2 linked regions of the Caenorhabditis elegans genome follow. The protein of the gene in region 1 interacts with the protein of each later gene in a pairwise test. Each region holds a gene or a part of one and is shown on either strand. Other genes may lie near its edges.

The links.
Region 2: the proteins of F54B11.5 (region 1) and let-70 interact in a two-hybrid assay, tested with the Caenorhabditis elegans proteins (one study listed by BioGRID).

What each region holds. Positions count from the first base shown.
Region 1 is NC_003284.9:13,593,621-13,600,316, forward strand, and holds F54B11.5 (RING-type domain-containing protein), read right to left. Parts: upstream 2,449-6,696; 5' UTR 2,448-2,448; coding exon 2,359-2,447; intron 2,026-2,358; coding exon 1,908-2,025; intron 1,859-1,907; coding exon 1,701-1,858; intron 1,567-1,700; coding exon 1,518-1,566; intron 1,141-1,517; coding exon 949-1,140; 3' UTR 501-948; downstream 1-500. Other genes in the region: bra-1 (MYND-type domain-containing protein), read left to right, coding at 4,851-4,919, 5,009-5,125, 5,173-5,379, 5,613-5,771.
Region 2 is NC_003282.8:11,079,320-11,083,838, reverse strand, and holds let-70 (Ubiquitin-conjugating enzyme E2 2), read left to right. Parts: upstream 1-1,585; 5' UTR 1,586-1,631; coding exon 1,632-1,655; intron 1,656-1,703; coding exon 1,704-1,877; intron 1,878-1,924; coding exon 1,925-2,030; intron 2,031-2,075; coding exon 2,076-2,169; intron 2,170-2,215; coding exon 2,216-2,261; 3' UTR 2,262-2,753; downstream 2,754-4,519. Other genes in the region: klc-1 (Kinesin light chain), read right to left, coding at 68-104; atg-7 (Ubiquitin-like modifier-activating enzyme ATG7), read left to right, coding at 2,789-2,915, 2,965-3,131, 3,178-3,330, 3,381-3,911, 3,955-4,519. UniProt on the Caenorhabditis elegans protein: Catalyzes the covalent attachment of ubiquitin to other proteins. Mediates the selective degradation of short-lived and abnormal proteins. Plays a role in the DNA damage response.

The DNA.
Region 1 (6,696 bases):
CTCCAATTATCAATGCAACAGAAATATGAATACTTCAATAAACATAATTGTATATTTGAACGAAGAATGTAATAATTTTTTTTTTTTTAGTTTTTCCATTATGCTTGCACGGTGTTAAAAAATTTAAAAAATCTACATATAAATTTTCCATATTCAGGTTAACATTCCGATTTTCCAAAAAAAAACGCATTCGGTTTCTTTTTTTTGCAAACCATTCAAAAAAACATTATCAAAATGGATTTAGTGGAAAAAGTTGAAACAGAAATGTTGCTGATGAGTATGTTCAGTTTCTTTTTTTAACAATTGAATTGCTATTTTTAAGGCAGTTTTGAGCAAACTTTTCAATGTTTTAAATTTAAATAAGTTTAAGTTTCAAAAAATAAACCAGCTTTTGTAAATCTAAGAATACACGGCAAGCATTTTCAGTACCCAATTCAATGTTGTCCAAGAATTTCAAATAACAAAATAGGATTCATGCAGTACTGATTATTGAAATAATTAAAAAGGTTGAACGTGCTTTATTCAGATATTTACATGGTAACAAAGTATACATCATTTGAATACAAAAAAAATGAGTTGAAACATTTGGAATTTGGACCTGAGAAGTGCGGCAGTGCAAAAATAATTTCTACCATTAGTGCCCAGAAATTACCAAACACCAGTTAAAAAACTAATTTGCACTGCCCCCACTAAAAAAATATTCGACTGTGAGCTACTCACAAGAAACCGCTAGGCGCACATCGAAACCGAGAAAGAAGGAAAAAAAATGGCTAAGGCTGAGAATGAACAATGAACCGTTAATGGAGTTATGGTAAGTTTTGAACTTATAAATGGAATAAATAAAAATAACGTTTTCCAAGAAACAACGAATGAGAAATGTGAGAAAAATCAGACAGGAAAAGTGAGCGGAGGCGAGAGAGATTTGGAGCTAGTTGAATATAGTTTAGATCAAGTTTCACGGGCGATTTCCTTCAAATACTCGTTCACTTCAGCCTGGTCTGGAGCATCTGGCACCTCCCAAGATGATTCGATGGGGTTTCTGATCTTTGTCTTGCAAATCGGGCATGAGAAATCGTGGCGGTATTCCATTTCGTTGGCGATGCATCGGATGCAAAAGGCGTGGAGGCACGGGAGAAGCAACTGAAAAATAAATAAAATATCTTTATTTTTATTTTTCAATACTCCGTATCTACTATTTACAGTTTTTTATTCAAATATGTTCTTTATGAGAACTGGAACTTTGGAAATATTCCTTGAGCTCAAATGAGTTTACCGATATGAATCCACAGATAAAAATTTGCGGAAAAATGCCTTAAAATTATCCAAAGTAAACAAGTTTGGGATTTCATAATTGTTCATTTCGAAATCTTGATCGATATTTTCTCAAACTCATGTTAATGAACCAGTAGAAGAAAAGTTTTTAAATATGAGGAGCACTACCAAGGTTTTAGATTCCAAAATACAAAATGTACGGACCCACTAATGAATTAATTTTGAATACGAAATTGAAAACTTACATCGTTGATGTTTTCCATACAAATCACGCAGTTACCCTCGACATCCGATCTGCAAAAAAAAGTTGAAGTGACCTGTGAAAAATTTTAAGGTTAAAATTTACTAACGAAACAGTCTTAATTAAAATACATTTTCTTTCCAAATATAACGATATCAGTGTATACTTTTTTCTTCGTGTAACTTACGTTTGAGTCAAAATGAATTGACTAGTCGACATGGGATCCACGCTTCTTTTACGGCTTTCCTTGTTGGTGATCATCAGCTTATGTAGATCATATGTGGAGAGAAACTCGCGAAACGTCAGCTCCTTGTAGTTTAACACTTGCTTCGACATTTGATTAACCTGAAAATTTATTTTTTCAATGTTCGATTTGTACAATGAAACTACTCACCTTGCAGCAGAGAATTTTAATCTCTGACTTCCAGTTTTCATATCCTTCACGCTGATAGTCAATGTTCCGGAGAGCGAAGGCCAAGTACTCCTCGTTTTCGACAAGAAGACTGCGATAACTGAACGAATAAAATGTTAGTTAAGGTCGTGACGCCATATTTCGTAATGTTTGGGAAACTTCCGAGGAATCCGATCTTTGGTGCAGGGTTCATAAGCAAACACTTCAAAAAATGTTGCGAAAAGATTGTTTCACACTTTATGTCCAAATTATTTTTCGAACACCGCTAAGGAAAGCCTTTTTATTTATAAATTTTTAATTGTTGCTGTATAAAAAAAATAGTGGTATTTTCAAAAAGATTAAGGAAATTAAAACATTTGGAAATTATATTTGATTTTTCAAATTATGAATTATAAATATTGCAACCAAATTTGACTCTAACAAAAAAACATACTTTCGGTTCATTTCCTTAATATCGGCCAAAAATTCATCCCATGTGCATGACTGAAATCGTGGATGTCGTTTTGATTGATTAGTACCCATCCTGAAAAATATTTTATAATTTAATCTATTAATTTACAAGAAAAACGTATGTTTATGCGGAATTAGTCATGCAAAACACATGACATCAGGAAAATGGTTCAAATAAACTGCGAGCAGGGTGGAAGAGCGGAGTAACGTAGTGCGAGAAATTGAGTGAAACGAGAGACACAGAGAAACATAAGAAAACGTATCGCATGAGTCCCTTGCACTCGTGAACAGTGAGCAAATTAATTGTATGCAAAAAAGGCAAGCACACAAAGTGCAGGAAATATTCTGGAAATTAAACGTATAAAGACATTTTTCTAACAAAACAAAAAGTTTAGTATTTTATGAATTATCTAACAATGTAAGTCATTCTATAAACGTTGTCATCATACATCATACCACTTTTGAACTATCTGTTTTATCCAGCTTGTAAAAATCAGGCACCTCTATTTGAAATTTTTTCGTACACAAAAAACTGTTTTTAATAAATGATTACATAGGCACATTACGCGTCTTATCATATGGTTGTTAACCTGTTCAGCAGATAGAAAAATTGATAACAACGGAAATGAGTCATGTAAAATCGATCCGGCCTAACATAATTAGCCGAGCTCGGAAAGTTCCGCAAATCTACTTTTTTGAAATTTGCCGAGCCCGGCAAACGGCAAATTTGCAGCACACCTACTCAGATAAAGATGAAGCCGATTAGGATACATCAAGCAGATCAGTGCAGAAAAAACTGATTGTCCCAACCGACTTGAGTATCTTCGGAAGTCAATTATAGTCTAGTTAACTTAGTTAACTTAGTTAATTGTCTAGTCAACTGCAATCCACAGTCGAAAAAATGCTCACATAAAAAAGACATAAAAAATTATCACATTTTCCTAGTTTGTTAAGCACGGCAAATATTAAAAAACGATATTTGCCGAATTTTCCGAGCTCTGAACTGTAGAACTGAACTGTACATTATCACCCATTACTACCCTTCGTTTTGTTTCATAGGATCCAACAAATTTGGGCGTCAAGAAAAGAGAACGAATTGCAAAAAAACTGCAGCGCCAATATTTTATGGTTCTCATCTTTGCGATATTTTTATGTGCACCGCCGCCCTCATCTATTGCCGCGTTGGAAGGAAAATATACGATATTCAATGCTTACTTCAAAATTTATTCTGGATATTTTTGAAAATCTCGCAGACGTGTTCAGTCAGCATTCGTGGTTGAGGATATCGAACACAAAAAAAGATATCATCGATCACGTGTGATGACAGATTTTCTGCGACTAACAGGTTTGCTTAATAAAAGTTACTAAAACGCTGAAACTTCTGGAAATCATTTTAATACTGTTTTCTTAAGATATCTTTGCAAAACTGGAAAAATACCAGAAGATAATCAAAGTCAGTCAACCCTCTCTGTACATTTCTGTCACATTCCTTCTGTTTTTCTATTTGGTGCGTAAAAAACGAATATTGTTTTAAAAAACAATATTTATCCCTAAAAATTTCCAACAAGAATTTCCACATATTTCTCTTGATATTCAATTTTTCAAAATTTTCGGCTAGCTGGGCTCTAATTTCCGTTAGTCACAAAATCTCATTTCCCGTTTTGCGAAGCCCTTCAAGCTTCAATAATACACCATTTCAGCCTACGAGAATCATAAAAATTTTATGATTAACTACGACGTAACCAAGGGTATCTGAGCTTTTGGGGCAATCTTTTGAGATTTCAGTTTTGTTTCCAAAATGTAATAAAACATTTTCCCAGTTTAAGTTTTTTGTTAAAATTTTAATTTTTTCCTGTGTCGCACAGCAACAAGGCTTATAATTATAAGAAAAATTTCTAAGAATACGTTTTCAAAAAACTCATTTTTTCTTGATTTTCTTTTTCAAATATTCATTCTCAAATTTTCCATATCCACCCGGAAATTTATTTAAGTGCGTCAAACACAAATTCAAATTCTTCCTTTGTTTTGTAAATCAAAAAGTCAGATACGTCACAACGCATTCTGTTCAAAAAATGTAGTCTGTGAGCAGGTGACCAGAACCTTCCATCTCTCAATAATCTCTTCTTTATCCTTTCATTAGACTGCGCAACGCCCTCCGGCTCATGACCACATATCGACTCGCCTCATGGGCTCATTATCTGCCATTTCCTTTCTCTCTGCTCTCTCTTTTGCTTTACCTCTCCGCTATCTCTCTACGGTCGTCATTTGAATATTACCTCGAGACAGCAGACGGCCGTCTGCTCAGACTGGTGTAAACCAAGAGTGCCGTAATTCCGGAGCATCGTTGTATCTGCGTGGAGTTGAGGGGTTTTAAACGCTTTTGTTATTTTCTTTTTTATATCGGTGCTGACGAGAGTTTTTATTTTTGATTAGTTGATTTAATTTTTTTCCAGAGAAACACAGTTATTTACAGAAATGTCGGAAGAAGCTGAAGCTGGACCATCGCCAAAAGTTAATGGGGAAAATGGAAACGGAACAAATACGGTAAGAGCTTTTTTTTTTGAAAAATATAACAGAACAACTTTCACTAAAATTTTTCACCGGGAAAAAATTAAAAAAAATCATCTTTACAGTTCGACGACTTGTACGTGGATGACAAAATGCGTCGAATGATTGTCGACCTTCAGCGTCAATGGCTCACGGATTATCACGATAGCCGCGAGAAATCTCTCGTTGCTCTAACTGAAAAAGTAAGTCAACCACCCCAAAGTTTTAATTTTAGAAATCTATATTTTAGCTCCATCAAGAATTCATGGAAGATCAGGAGCGAGTCCGTCGCGATTTGTTGGTTCAGTTCAAGATAGAGCTCGACCAGACAAAGGAAGAGCTGGAGAAGAAGCACGCGGAGAATCTCAAGGAGGAGATTGAAAAGCTGTCGGAAAAACACCAAAGGGAACTTGCTGTCGCTAAGAAGAAGCAGTGGTGCTGGCAATGCAACAGCGAGGTGAGATTTTATGATTTTATGATTTTTTGATTTAGACGGGTTCTCTATTTAAAAGATGTAGAGTGTTGCCAGATATTTCAAAATCTCTAACATCAGTCTGAGTCGTGATACCAATGTTCATAGTACTATATCTTATTTGTAAGCTAATTTTCTTTCGAGCATGAAAATAATTCTTTTGCGCTCCAGTGCTGTATTAATAACGCTAGACCTGAAACATCATGATCATATTTCAGGCAATCTATCATTGCTGCTGGAACACTGCTTATTGCAGCGTTGAATGCCAACAAGGACACTGGCAGATTCATCGCAAGTTCTGCCGCAGAAAGAAGAGCAACGGTGGAGCCCCAGGACCAGTTCAGCCAATTGCTGAGCCTACTCAAAGTCAACAATGATTGAAACTTAAATAATATGCTATCTGCGAGCCGGAGGCCCTTTGAAAAGTAACAAAGCTTGTGTCAGGTTTTCGAAGTTTATCTCATCACACATCCCGTTTTCTGTGTTACTACTGTATATCTTCTCTCCAATAACATGCAATATTTTTCTATAATCCCATGACAACAACAATTTTAAGATCTTCTATATAAATCCTGTTAATTAGGAATTTGGATCAATTTCGGAGAGATCTCAAACTTGTGTTAATTCCTTCGAGAAATAATCAAGAAATTATGTGAATAAAGTTTATTTTGATACACATGTCCTTTTGGATACTGTAAATGTGAAAGATGACAAAATGAAAATGTTCCTAGACACTTATGGGGATCAAACGTGTTTTCACATCCGATGTGTATTGTATAAATGTAAACAATTAACGAAGATATGAATTGACATAATGAATTGAGAGTTATTCAACCTCTGCAATTAAAATGAATATAAACTTCTCTGAAAAACTATTTCAGAAAGCACCCAAAAATTCAAATTAGAAGGAGTGCTATGAAATTTACACGGATTGTACAACAAATATACTTTGTTTGAGTTTCAACAACGAAACGAATAGAAATTGCGATTTGTGAATAAATGAACATCGTTTGAGTATGTTTAACAACTTGCGATGCGATAATAATAGTAAATCTTGCTCAATAATGTGTAAGTGCTTTACTATTCATCAGACCGATTCCTAAATAAGGTTTGTCGATTTTTCAGAATTTTTCCGTAAAGTAAATCTAAATTAATTTTGAATTACCGATAATTAGGCTTTTTTCAGAATTTTGTCGCATTATTTTCGCTTTTCAACTCTTCTTGACGGAAAAAAATCGCAATTATTTTTACACTCGCCCTCTTGATTCGAAGCGTTTTTTGTTTGAAAAATTCTTTCTTTTC
Region 2 (4,519 bases), on another chromosome or scaffold:
GTAATTTAATGTGAATTTTCGATTATTTTAATGTTTTCTAAAAAATTTTTGTTGTTTTTATTAATACCTTCAACGTAATATGGGATAGACAAGCAGTATGCCATTTAAAAATATTTTTTGATTGGAAGAGCTTTCCATATCTCTTGGCGCCATTTCGAACGCGGCAAAATACAGATTGTGAAACAAGGGCGGTCCATCATTCTTACTCATTTTCTTCTAATTTCTTCAGTTTCTTTTCAGTTCGTTTGCGATGTTCCTTATTTTTCTTCCTGCTCCAACTTCTGTAGTTCGTTCTGTTGTACTTGTTTCCAATTTTTTAAAGGTTTTCCTCGCTGAATTCGTATTTTAAAAATAACTTCAACTCCACATGTGAGTAGTGATTAGGGAATTTAGTGCTCGATCAATAATTTGAACAACATTTTTGCAAAACTTATTTCTCAAAATTAAAGTCACTTCCGAAGTATGATTTGGCCTATTTTATACCTCTTTGTTTTCGTTGTCCCACGTGACTCATATAGCACGAAATAAGAAAACACACTCAAGTTCATTCGTCCTAAAATTTTATAAATTCCGCGTTCAAATTTCAGTCATCTAGTAACCATCAGAAAAGTGCAAGTTCACTCACGTCCACACTGAATTGAATCAGTGGAATCACATGATCAACTGCTTCTCTCACTCTCTCGCTTTGTCATTAGATATCTCTACCTCTCTGCGTTTCGTGTCTAAGTGCTTATAGTTTCACTTCTCTCCGCTTTCAATCCCCATTGCGATGCGACTGCAGCATTGCAGTGAGTGTGATGGTCGTCTCAAGACCCATGGCGCTGCGTATCGATCGTTGCCTCGTACCCTCTTACGTTTCCTGTGTTATTTCTGTCTCTGTCGTTCTGACACTTCAGCGCTCACCCCGTCGCTCATTTTCACTCACAGACAGCACACATTCTCACTCACTCGCAGCCTATGGCCATTTCTTCCTTCCTCACCATCTCGTGAGGCGACAAGTCGCGTGTCTTTAGTCGATTTCAGAGTGATTATCTGGAAATCATTTGTTTCAATCAGAAAATAATACGTACATGCCGAATAGTTTTTTAAAAAACTAACCAGACAATTTGTGATACGTCTTGAATTTTAATTTTTGCCCAGTCTCGATTCATTGTGAAGAAAATTTTACAAGATTTGAATCGCTTGCTTTTTGTGCGTAATATTCCAGTCCATTTCTTTTAAGCGTTAAAATTTTTTTCGAGTGTCACTGGCTTGTAGCCGTAAAAATGTGTCATATTTGTCATCATTTCTCATCGTTAGTTATTTTATTAGGAAATTTCCGAAATTTATGTTATTTTGGTTTTCAAATTTATATCTGTTCTATTTTTCCTCATTTTTCGCTTTCTAGAATGTTCCACTAGTTTCGAAATGTGACGTAACAGTTCACCACGAAGGGCAAACTGAGTACTTTGTACCGCCTCTAAATATCGATTTTTCGCCGCGCCGCGCCGTACTCTTTATGTTATTTCATGCGAAAATCCTCACTTTCAATTTTTCCCTATAGCAGAAGCTCAATTTCACCGTATTTATCGAAATTTATTTTCAGAGTACTCCGGGTGTAGCCGGGTCAATCAGCAAATCAGAACACCAACATGGCTCTCAAAAGAATCCAGAAGGTAAGGTTTCAACACTTAACAACAATAAAATTATTATGTACGTTTCAGGAACTCCAAGATCTCGGCCGTGATCCACCCGCACAATGCTCCGCTGGACCAGTTGGTGATGATTTGTTCCATTGGCAAGCTACGATTATGGGCCCACCAGAGTCTCCCTATCAGGGAGGTGTCTTCTTCCTCACTATCCACTTCCCAACAGACTATCCATTCAAACCACCAAAGGTATTGATCGAAATTGGAAAAAAATAAATTTAATTTGTTTTCTTCAGGTTGCCTTCACCACTCGAATTTATCATCCGAACATCAATTCAAACGGAAGCATCTGCCTTGACATTCTCCGTTCGCAGTGGTCGCCGGCTCTGACCATTTCGAAAGGTTGATATTATCATTATTGTTCGCGTTCTAACTTTTAATTTTCAGTTCTGCTTTCGATCTGCTCGCTGCTCTGTGATCCAAATCCGGATGATCCACTTGTGCCAGAGATTGCACGCATCTACAAGACGGATCGTGAAAGGTGAATTTAGATTTTCTTTTAACTACTAAAAATAATCGATTTTCAGGTACAATCAATTGGCGAGAGAATGGACGCAAAAGTACGCTATGTGAGGAGGCTAACACCATTCATACAAGAACGCAGCCAAACCAATCAATAAACCATGTGTTTCTTTTCCCTCTCTGTGTCTCCCATTCATCTCCAAACCCTTTCCATCTTATTCAATCCACACCAAACCCCGGCGATTCCTCTTTTGTACTATAAATTGTGTTCTCTTTTTATCGATTTTGTTCTCCCCCACACATTATTCTCCTTCAAAAAATACCCACTTTCATATTATTTTCTGTCGTCAGCAAAGCGATGTAAAATATATATGGTCTTTTATATTTCTTCCTTATAATTCAAAAGTAAATCGAACGGTGTAGATTGATCCCCTCAATTCTCTCTCATCCCCTTTAAACTATTTTGTCTCCAAATCTCCCTCCTCCCTTCCTCTGATTTTTCTCGAGAAATTGAAAAAGGATTTCTTCCAAACCACCACACATTCGTTCTTCGTTTATTTCATCTGGCGGTCTGAGAATCCTGAATAAATTACTGAAGAGCGTCTATTATTCTCGACATTGTTTTTCTTTCAGAATCGATGGCCACGTTTGTTCCCTTTGTTACTTGTCTTGATACAGGTTTTTGGAACGAAGTGAACAAGAAAAAGCTCAATGATTGGAAACTCGATGAGACGCCAAAGTGTATCTCAAGTCAATTATCGCTTCGTAAGAATTGCCTATATCCGTATCAGATGATTTTTAATTTAAATTACAGATCAAACCGAAGGTTTTAAATGTCATCTATCCTTAAGTTACGACAGTTTGAGCAGTTTGGAGAGCACAACTGGATTGTCAATGTCCGGTACCCTTCTTCTGTACAATACAATTGAAAGTTTCAAGATGGTTGACAAAAGTGATTTGATAAGAAGTGAAGCAGAAAAGGTAGAATAACTTTCGTATAGTTAATCAAAATCGTCAGCAATTTCAGATCTGGGAATCTATCACAACTCGAAAATGGCTCCAAAATCCTCGTCTTCTGTCGCAATTCTTCATCATCGCTTTTGCTGATTTGAAAAAATTCAAATATTATTATTGGACATGTGTTCCTGCTTTGGTATATCCTAGTGAAATAAAACAAGAGGTTGAAAAATCTTTAAAAGTCTTTGAAGTTCGTAAATTCTTCGGTTTCAGATCACACCACTATCATCTCTCGGAGCCGATCACAAGATCCTGTTCGACTTTTATAGGAAAAACAATTTTCCGATCTTCCTATACTCCAAACAATCTTCAAAAATGCTCGAACTGTCAGAATTGGAAAACAACACAAATCCTGACGAAATATGTGTTGTTGTCGCTGATCCTTCTCCTGTTGCGTATTCTGCAGGATGGATGGTTCGCAACGTTCTTGCCGCAGTGGCACATCTTCATCCTACGTGGAAGCATTGTCATATCATCAGTCTTCGTTCAGCTGACAGTATCGGAATAAAATACACATGGACCTTGCCGAGTGCTGAATGCTCAGCAGATGGAGCTCAGAATGCTGTTCCAAAAGCTGTGGGATGGGAAAGAAATGCAAATGATAAGTTGCAGCCGATTTCAGTAGACTTAAGTAAAGAGTTCGATCCAAAAATATTAATGGAAAGATCTGTGGATCTTAATTTATCATTAATCAAATGGAGATTGCACCCAGATATTCAATTGGAAAGATACTCACAGCTGAAGGTATATATTTAAATTTTAAATTTTATATTTTGTCATATTCCAGGTTCTCATTCTTGGTGCTGGAACGCTTGGATGTAACATTGCCCGTTGTCTTATCGGATGGGGAGTTCGTCACATTTCGTTTCTTGATAATTCAACTGTCAGCTACAATAACCCCGTTCGCCAGAGTCTCTCAGAATTTGAAGATGCACGCCTGGGTCGTGGAAAAGCCGAAACAGCACAAGCTGCTATCCAACGCATTTTCCCATCGATTCAAGCAACTGCTCATCGTCTCACTGTTCCAATGCCTGGACATTCTATCGATGAAAAAGATGTACCAGAGCTGGAAAAAGATATTGCAAAATTGGAGCAACTTGTGAAAGATCATGATGTTGTTTTCCTAGCATTAGATTCAAGGGAAGCTCGCTGGCTTCCAACAGTTTTGGCTAGTAGACATAAGAAGATTGCAATTAGTGTCGCGATTGGATTCGATACCTACGTCATCATTCGGCATGGAATTGGTTCTAGAAGCGAAAGTGTTTCAGATGTTTCATCATCAGATTCCGTACCATACTCTCAGCTTTCTTGCTATTTCTGCAGTGATGTAACTGCTCCAGGAAATTCTACTT